Drosophila melanogaster: one gene and its partner. The protein of the gene in region 2 interacts with the protein of the main gene of each other region in a pairwise test. Each region holds a gene or a part of one and is shown on either strand. Other genes may lie near its edges.

What was found.
Region 1: the proteins of sug (region 2) and croc interact in a two-hybrid assay, tested with the Drosophila melanogaster proteins (one large-scale study listed by BioGRID).

What each region holds. Positions count from the first base shown.
Region 1 is NT_037436.4:21,473,617-21,478,150, forward strand, and holds croc (crocodile), read right to left. Parts: upstream 2,864-4,534; 5' UTR 2,579-2,863; coding exon 1,052-2,578; 3' UTR 517-1,051; downstream 1-516. UniProt on the Drosophila melanogaster protein: Required for the establishment of head structures.
Region 2 is NT_033778.4:12,927,277-12,931,170, reverse strand, and holds sug (sugarbabe), read right to left. Parts: upstream 2,312-3,894; 5' UTR 2,240-2,311; coding exon 1,830-2,239; intron 1,388-1,829; coding exon 643-1,387; 3' UTR 527-642; downstream 1-526. UniProt on the Drosophila melanogaster protein: Transcription factor which represses a set of lipase genes involved in fat catabolism.

The sequences.
Region 1 (4,534 bases), on a different chromosome or scaffold from region 2:
TCAAGTTTTTAAGCAGAAAGAAGCTCAGACTACACAATCTAACAGTGAATATAATATTATAAATACTAAAGTTACCCTTTTTTGTAAATACCTTTCGATAGCTAGTCGTGCATATGAAGCATACAATTTCCTGGAAATTTTCATTTATTATTCCAAAAGGTCGAATGCATAATTATTTCCACTGAAAGGGGGGAAGTGTTTTCTATCCGATCGCTTGACAAACGACATATGTCCACGTTTGCAAGTCCATCGGAACTGCAGCCAACTGATCGAGTGAGTCCAAATGATATGATACGGCTACCCAGAAAGCCATCTTCCAGTGACAATTGGCCAGTTGAGTCATGCATTCGGGGCTCGAAACGGACACGCCTTGAATAATTATTTATCTAGGAATTCTGCGTGCGGGCTATCCAGTTTCGGGGTAAAAAGTCTGTTTTGCCAGCCAAATGCTCAATGGCCAGATGGAATAGCGAAAGTCGCTCCGAATATGAAGGGGCCAAATAAAACACACGATTTGAGATATTTTAACATATTTTCAATACACTTTTTGTTCGGCTCATATTGGTGGTACGCTAGTTTTGATAGTTATGTTATAGCTACGATTTAGTTGTATAATTTATTATTGCTTACGTGGGCTAGGCTAGTGTACTAGGCGATGATAGATCGATCCGATGCGGTAGTTTTAGTTATTGACAAAATGCTCTAATTTAAGTTTATGTTCTGTGTAGCAAAACCCCATCACAAATTGCGTAGCAGACAATTGGGACTATGCCTAAATTCGATAACAATTACGAGCTACAATTACAAATACAGTTAATACAATACAATACGTTAATGCGGTTGCTTAACAGCTATGTCCCCCATTATTTCGTATACGGATAAATCGAAAACAAGTTGGAAACAAAAAGATCTGAGATAGCAGACTCTGGACCCCGAGGGATCACCACCCCCAGGCTGTGTAGACTCGTTCTTGGGTATATTATATGGTGTATGTATTTACAGGAATATACAAGAGAGCCCAGCCCAGTCGCCGAGAATCCAGCCCACAGGCTTACACCCCGTACTTGATGCCGTACTCCTGGTAGTGGCCCACATGCGGTCGGTAGTGGCTCAGATTGCTCAGCTGACCCAGCTGGCCCAGGTTCCCGCTAAGCGCCGCATGGTGATGATGGTGGTGGTGGTGGCTACTGATCACCGCCGCCGCTGCTGCCGCTGATGCCGCTGCCACGGATGCGGAGGCAGGTGGACTGGCGGATTGTAGGCTGCCGGTGGGACTACCGGTGTCCAGTTGGCAGGATTGGTTCTGCTCGAAGATCATGTCGCGGAAACCCAGTGCCGATGTGGGACTGCTGGTCAGCACGCTGGAGGATCCTCCACCGCCACCGCCGCCGCCTCCGCCACCGTTGCCCACTCCATTGTGGTTGAGTACGCTGCTGCTGTTGTTGTTATTATGTCCCGGGTGGGTGGGTGTGCCCTGCTGCCCATTGTGAGGAACGGGTTCCGATGGTGGCGTTTCCGGGGTATACCAACCCCCGTGCGCGGGACCATGCGGAGTTGAGATCGTGGTGGGCGAGTGTCCGGACGATTGGCCTCCCGCTCCTTGGCCGCCGGGGGTCAGAGGATGGGCCACGTGCGCCACATGACGCTGCAGTTGCTGGGCATGATGGGCCGCCGCAGCGTGGTGGACATGATGCATCTGACTGCTGGCCACCGTGGCCAAGTTGTCCTCGTTCAAGTGGTAGGGATAGGCGCTGTGATGGATCCGCGGGTTGTACACATTCATGAGTGAGTCCACGGTGAAGCCGGGATGCTCCACTCCGCCGCCAGCCAAGTGGTTCATTTGGGCCAAGCTGTCGTGGCAGGAGTTGAGCATTGCGGCATGGGAGACCTCCTTGCCACTTAGACAACCCAAGTCCATTAGGGGCTCCTTTTTGAAGTGGGCAGCATGGGCGGCCATGTGCTTGGCCTCCAGTATGCCGTTGGTCATCAGCTTGAGGGGCTTCATCTCGGCCAGCTTCTCGTTCATCATGGCCTGCCGCTTGATGGCCTCCTCCTTCTCCCGCATCACATCCTTCTTCTTGAAGCGGCGACGCCGGCGAAGGAAGGAGCCGTTGTCGAACATGTTGTAGGAGTCCGGATCCAGAGTCCAGTAGGAGCCCTTGCCGGGCTTCTTGTCATCGCGGGCCACCTTCACGAAGCACTCGTTGAGGCTAAGATTGTGCCGAATGGAGTTCTGCCAGCCCTGCTTGTTGTCGCGATAGTAGGGAAATCGCTCCATGATGTACTGATAGATCCCGTTCAGGGTCACCTTCTTGTCCGCCGCATTCTGGATGGCCATGGCTATCAGGGCGATGTACGAGTAAGGTGGCTTTACAATCTCCTTGTTCTGGTGCGGGGCACCCAGGCCGTAGGCGCTGGCCGAGTACGGATAGCGGGAGTACTGGTCGTATGCGTAATGTGCCGCTGCTGCAGCGGAGGCGCTGCTGGCCGCCGCCACCGCGGATGCGGATCCGTAACCGGCTGCGGTCTGGGCATAGTGGCGCGTAAAGGAGTTCTGGTCGCTGAATAACGTATGCATGGCGGCGATTCCGGCGGATTTCTGATCGATTTTCCACTGCCGCCTTCTGGTATTTTCGTACTCTCTTGCTTTTGTCTTGCTTTCTTTCTCGAACTTAATCACTTCACCACTGGCTGCTTCTTATTATTTCTAGCGATAATATTTGCTTAAACAAGTCGCTCACATAAGTGCAGATATATAAATCTATATATATATATATATATATATGCATCTATTTGTAGTACAGGGGAAATGGGAGCGCAGAGCGAGCGCAGAACCGTTCGGTATAGTAACACGTCTGATACTGAATCTGTGTAACTGAAATAACACACAGCTCGCATCGAGCAGAAGCGTTTGCGTCGGCAGAGCGTCGCCCGCACCAGAAAGTATCTCGATCCGCTGCCGCACAGTATCTGTGTGTACCCGCACAATGTATCCGTATCTGCATGTGTATCTGCAGCCAACCAACGATGGCTGCCACTCGCAGTCAGTAAGTGAAGTGGGCCCGCAAACACAGCTGCGTCGAAAGTATCTGTGTGTGGCCAAGAGAAAGAGAGAGAGAGAGAGAGAGAGAGAGAGAGAGCGGACGCCATTCATGCTTTCTTTTTTGTATAGGAAAAAATAGTTAGCTAGCTACGGTGTGTGTCCTGTGGGCACTCCTCCCCTACCCGTCGCTTTTCCAAGCCCTTGTTTTTGTTGTTTAAACTAATGCTTAAAATACGGCCTATCGCCCTCTCTCTCTCTCCCTCTCTCTCTCTCACTTCCGCTCTCGCTCGCTCCCTCTATCTCGCATTCATGATATACTAGATACAATGGTAGTAAGAGCGAGCGAGAACCACATCAACTATGAGAGGCACCTGGGAAAGCCAACAGCACAGGCACAAGTGGGTGGAGGTGGTGGTGAACCAGGGGCTGCAAACGAGCCAACCACCCACTTAACTCACCCTTCCAATGACTTCGGCATAAATTAGTGATAAAGTTCTTTCGATCTCAGCTTAAAGTTGTTCGTCTTCTCGGGAGAGGCAGAGACCAAAAAGTTGCCTGCTAATTTGCAGTTTGATGGGTTTTCGCCAAGATGTTCAAGTTAAGGGCCACGTTTGAAGGTTGTTTTCGTTGAGGGCAAGGCATTAAGTTTTTAGCAACTCCCTTTTTCGGGCGCTTGAATTGACAATGGTTTTTTTGGTGTGCAAAGGGCAGGAATTTTTCAGGCTTATTTAAGGTAAGAATTTCAAGAATACTCAGGATATTAGACAAACATGTTTTCCACAGTTTTTCAAGAACTATTGTATCACCCTATATATAGGATCCTTATATAATAAAGATTCATTAAATTGTTGTTCATGTTAAAATGTCCTAAAAAAGAAAACCGAAATTTTTCTAATATCTAAAATGTATCTAATATCAAAAAGAATGAATATATATATGTAGAAAACTTTTCCCTTCTGCAATATTATTATGAAGCGAGTTATTTATTTAAAAATTGCTCTATTGGCGTGATTAGTTTAAATCAGAGATAATAATAATTGAACAGTTAATACAAGTAGAGTTTTGTACCATAAATTTATAACATATTAAAATTGCACTTGTTTTTATGTTATCTCCTATCCGCCTTTTGACTTGATACTCATTCACTCCACATTTCCAAACATCGAAAGGGTTACTAACCAATTTACAAGCCAAATAACGATAGAGTCAAACATAAAAAGTCCTTCGGCCTCGTCCTTCCCTCTCGCGACTCCTCTGCTCGTTGAGTCCTGCAGTGTCGTTTTTTTCGCAGACTTCATTTCTATTTTCTGCTTATTAAAACAATATTTTTTATTGACTTTGTCAGCTTTAAAGTAAATTTCATATGTTTATTTGGGCAAGGGCAAGTGTGCGTGTGGATGTGAGTGTGTGTACGCGAGAGGCCGAATGGGATGGGCTGGGTGTTTGTCTGGTTATTAGACACAGGGAAAACAAACACGCACATATTTATAT
Region 2 (3,894 bases):
CTGTAGTATGTTGCCAGTATATATATATGCCTATATATAGTGTAAAACCTGATATCGCTTTTAAAGTGTATTCATCTATTTCAAATGTGAAATACTTTTGCTATTTATTTTGTTTGTTCTTGTTGTTTGTATAAAAACGAGAGGTTATCTAGATCAACTAACATTCCTATAAACCGCAAAAAAAAACATTAAATCTGTTATTAACAGTTGTGTGAAAAACTCGTCTAGATGCGCATTTAAACAATAAATATTTTCCAATATCTAGCGCTCTATTAGCCCAGCCATTCGAAATGGGGATTTTCCTCCAAACAAAGGTTGTCTGGATCATAAATTCTAATCGAAGTCGATTAAGATTGGTCACTAGTTTTGTGACGAATCGCCTGTAACTGGGGATTTTCCCATACCTTGAGCTTATGGTTTTTCGAAATCTTTGAAATACTCTTTTTGCCCAGAACCACTATGAAGGAACCTAGATCAGATCAATCCCGAAGATACTCCCATGCCACCATGCCAAACTAGAGCAGTTCAATTACAACAGTCTTTAATCACGTTAAATAGTAATCTAGGTGTGGTGACAAGAGCTGGGAAACAGCGCAATGACTAGAAGGGGAAGAGAGACGAGAGGCGAACCGATTGGCCAGTTCAGATTCGATGGATGCGCAGGTCGAGCGGTGACTCCACGTCCATCTTAACGAAGAAGTCCTCGCTGTGGAGATAGCTATGCTGTCTATCGCCTAGCCAATAGCTGGGCGAGAATTCCGCATCCTGTTTGGGTTTTAGCGAGTAATCGCTGGGCTCATTGTTGGAGTCATCGTAGTAGCGGGCGGATGAGGAGGAGCTGGTGGACTCCACACTGCTGGCAGCGGGAAGACACGTGAACGCTGATTCGCTGCTGGCCTCCAGGAGACAGGGTACGCTGGGCAGAGTGAGCGGCTGGCTGGCGATCAGGTGGATGCTGTGCTTGAAGGTCTTGACGTGCTTTCGCAGCGAGGACGGATCCGTGTAGCGCTTCTGGCAGCCGGCCACTTTGCACATGTACGGCTTCTCCATCGAATGGGTGCGCGTGTGCTTGAAACGATCCGAGGAGTTCGAGTACGCCTTCTGGCAGCCCTCGAAGCTGCACTTGTAGGGTTTCTCGCCCGAGTGTGACCTAATGTGGATCTTCAGGTTCTCCGCCCGCGAGAAGGACTTCTCGCACAGGTGACAGCGATGTGGCTTCTCCTTCGTGTGGGTGCGGGTATGGACAAGCATCTTGTAGCGGGCATTGAATCCTCGCTCGCTGCGCTGACATCCCCGCCAGCGGCAATAGTAGAGTCCGTCTGTCAGGCTGGCGATCGCATGTCGCTGGGTCACGTGCTGTGCCAGTGCATCCAAGGTGTCGAAAACTCTGCAAGGATCAAAGGGATATAAGTGGTTAGTACGAAAATAACATGTACTGGATTGATTTCTTATCCAATATTAATACACTTGCTGACCATAAACAATACACTGCATCTCTATCAATTTGACCCAAAATCACATTATTATCGCTATTGGAGGGTTTATCAAAAAGTCGAGTCCAACAGTTCAGCAAATGCCAGGCTGCCTCCGGGGTTTTTTTTTTATTTCTTTCGAATGCGTAATCAGTTTCAATGGTAAAACGCGGGGGAACTGTGTTTTATATTTTTCTAGAACTACTCAATGTCTTTCTCTGGCAACTCAAAATTCAAAAGAAAATATAATGCTGAGTTTTTTTTTCGTTTTTAAAAAACATTACGAAAGTGCTGAGACCCCTTTAGGAAATTTCTTTGAAATTTTCACAATAATTCTGTAATGCAGTTGACACTTACCTATCGCAATCTGTCCAGTTGCATACGAAATCGCTGGCGGTGCCGCACTCGCTGCTGCTGCTGCAGGACTTGCTGTCGTCGGGGAACTCCACTGGACTGCGGCAGAGCTCGTCCTGCTGGCCACGAGCCTTCATGATCACGGACTGGGTGCGCTGACGATATCCGTATCCGGCGATGGGACGCGGCGGTGTGATGGGCGGCGTGGGAAACCTGATGTGCTGCATCTGCTGCTGGTGCTGCTGGTGCTGCTGCTGGTGGTGTTGGTGGTGATCCGCCAACCAGCTGCCGGAATCCGAGTAGGCGGCTATGTACGGTGGTGTGTTATACGGCGTAAAGTAGCCGAGAGGCGGCTCGTAGATGCCTCTGCTGTGTGGGCCGCTGTTGAAGATTGACTTTTGTATTATATCCATGTTTGTTGTCTGTGGTGGGTGCTGATCGAGAAAATTTGTTGCTTTCGCTAAAGCGCCTGCCGATCGAATGAGCCGCTCGCCTGCAGAGGTTCGGGTAATATGCGAAACTTGGACGGCGATAAGGGGTCGCCCAGACGGACAGGGTATGCTTATCAGTTTCGAAGGCTGCAGACGGGTCCGGCGGGGGCGTGGCAGGGGCAGGGGGAGCAGACGGCGGCAGACGGAACCAAAACAGTGGAGCGCCGAGGAGCAGGTGCGTAGCGGTGGAGCGGTGGAAAAAAATCCGCTGGGGCAAATGGATCTGGGGCAAAAGCACACACTACGTGAGTGAAACTCTGTGCTGGATGGACTGCGACGCAGATGGGTGACTGGGGGGCGACCAGGGTACGGTCTGGGCCCGCTTATCAACGCACAAGTGGAGAGCCAGCTAGTCAGCCAGCCAGCCAGTCCACATATGTACACAGGCACATGTGTGTGCCCGATGATCGCTCTTTGGGGGGCAAGTCTTATCGCCCGGTGCCGTCTGCCTGCCTGCCTGCCTGACTTGCACTTCGTACCGCGTAGCGAATTCCCTGCCGCACCCCACCCTGCGTACCGATCCGAGTCCCACTCCCGATCCGAATCGCACCCCTTCATTGGAACAGGTACGTCAACTCTTGGAGCCGTACTAGTGCACTCAGAGAAAAGCGAATGGACTAATACGTCTGAAGACGCATCTAGATCTTTTGCCTGAGAATGGCTAGTTCTAGAATCTACAAAGAGGCCACTATAAGATCGCCTTGCATAATTTCCATAAATAGATTTATTAATAAAACAATTAATTGTTTTCCTGACCTAACTATATATTCGAGCTTGTGACTAAAAAGTAAATAGTTATAGTTTTGAGACAAAGAATCAAAAGTTTAAGCAGACAATTTGAATCGTTATGTGATTCCTATACTCTGAAGGGAAATGGATAAAAACTTTCGTGGAAGCCACTTAATTTCAATTCTGTAATATATTTCTCAATTTCTCAATATGTTTTATTATTACAAAGTTAAAATTAGACTTTAAGCTTAATAGCTGTTTATAAAGTTAAAGCTTAGAAGCTTCCTTGAATTCCGAACTTTATAATGGATATAAAACCCCAACTGATGTGTTGCATAAGGAAATCACGCTAATTTTATTAAATTTGATTTGAGTACACTGAAAACAAAAGTGATATTTTCTAGCTTGAGCTTTGTGAAACCCCACACACATTCTCATTTATAATTTTATCACTTTATCAGAAATACTAAACTTCCCCCACATGTGTTTGATATGCAAGCGTACGATCCCAAAACCCAGAAATTCATTCTTGGGTTCGCCCGCCGGTTTCACCTCAGTGTGTGGGCGCTGCGTCTGGGACGGCGATAAGGTGGTGGTGGTTGGTTATCTCACGCCAAGTCAACAAACGCCGCCACATGCCGCCATGGTACCATATCTTTTGGCCCGAAAACTTGGTGCGCCATGACGCGAATGGTTCGGCGGGACGCGGAGTTGCGCTCTGCTGGGTGGTGGCTATGGCAATCAGCTATCAGCCAGCCATAAAGCTATCGTCGTTATCAGCGCGGCGGAGGCGCTGTCTGGTCCCGTGAATCACTGGGGGAGCAACCTTCGCTCTACCCCGGCGCTGC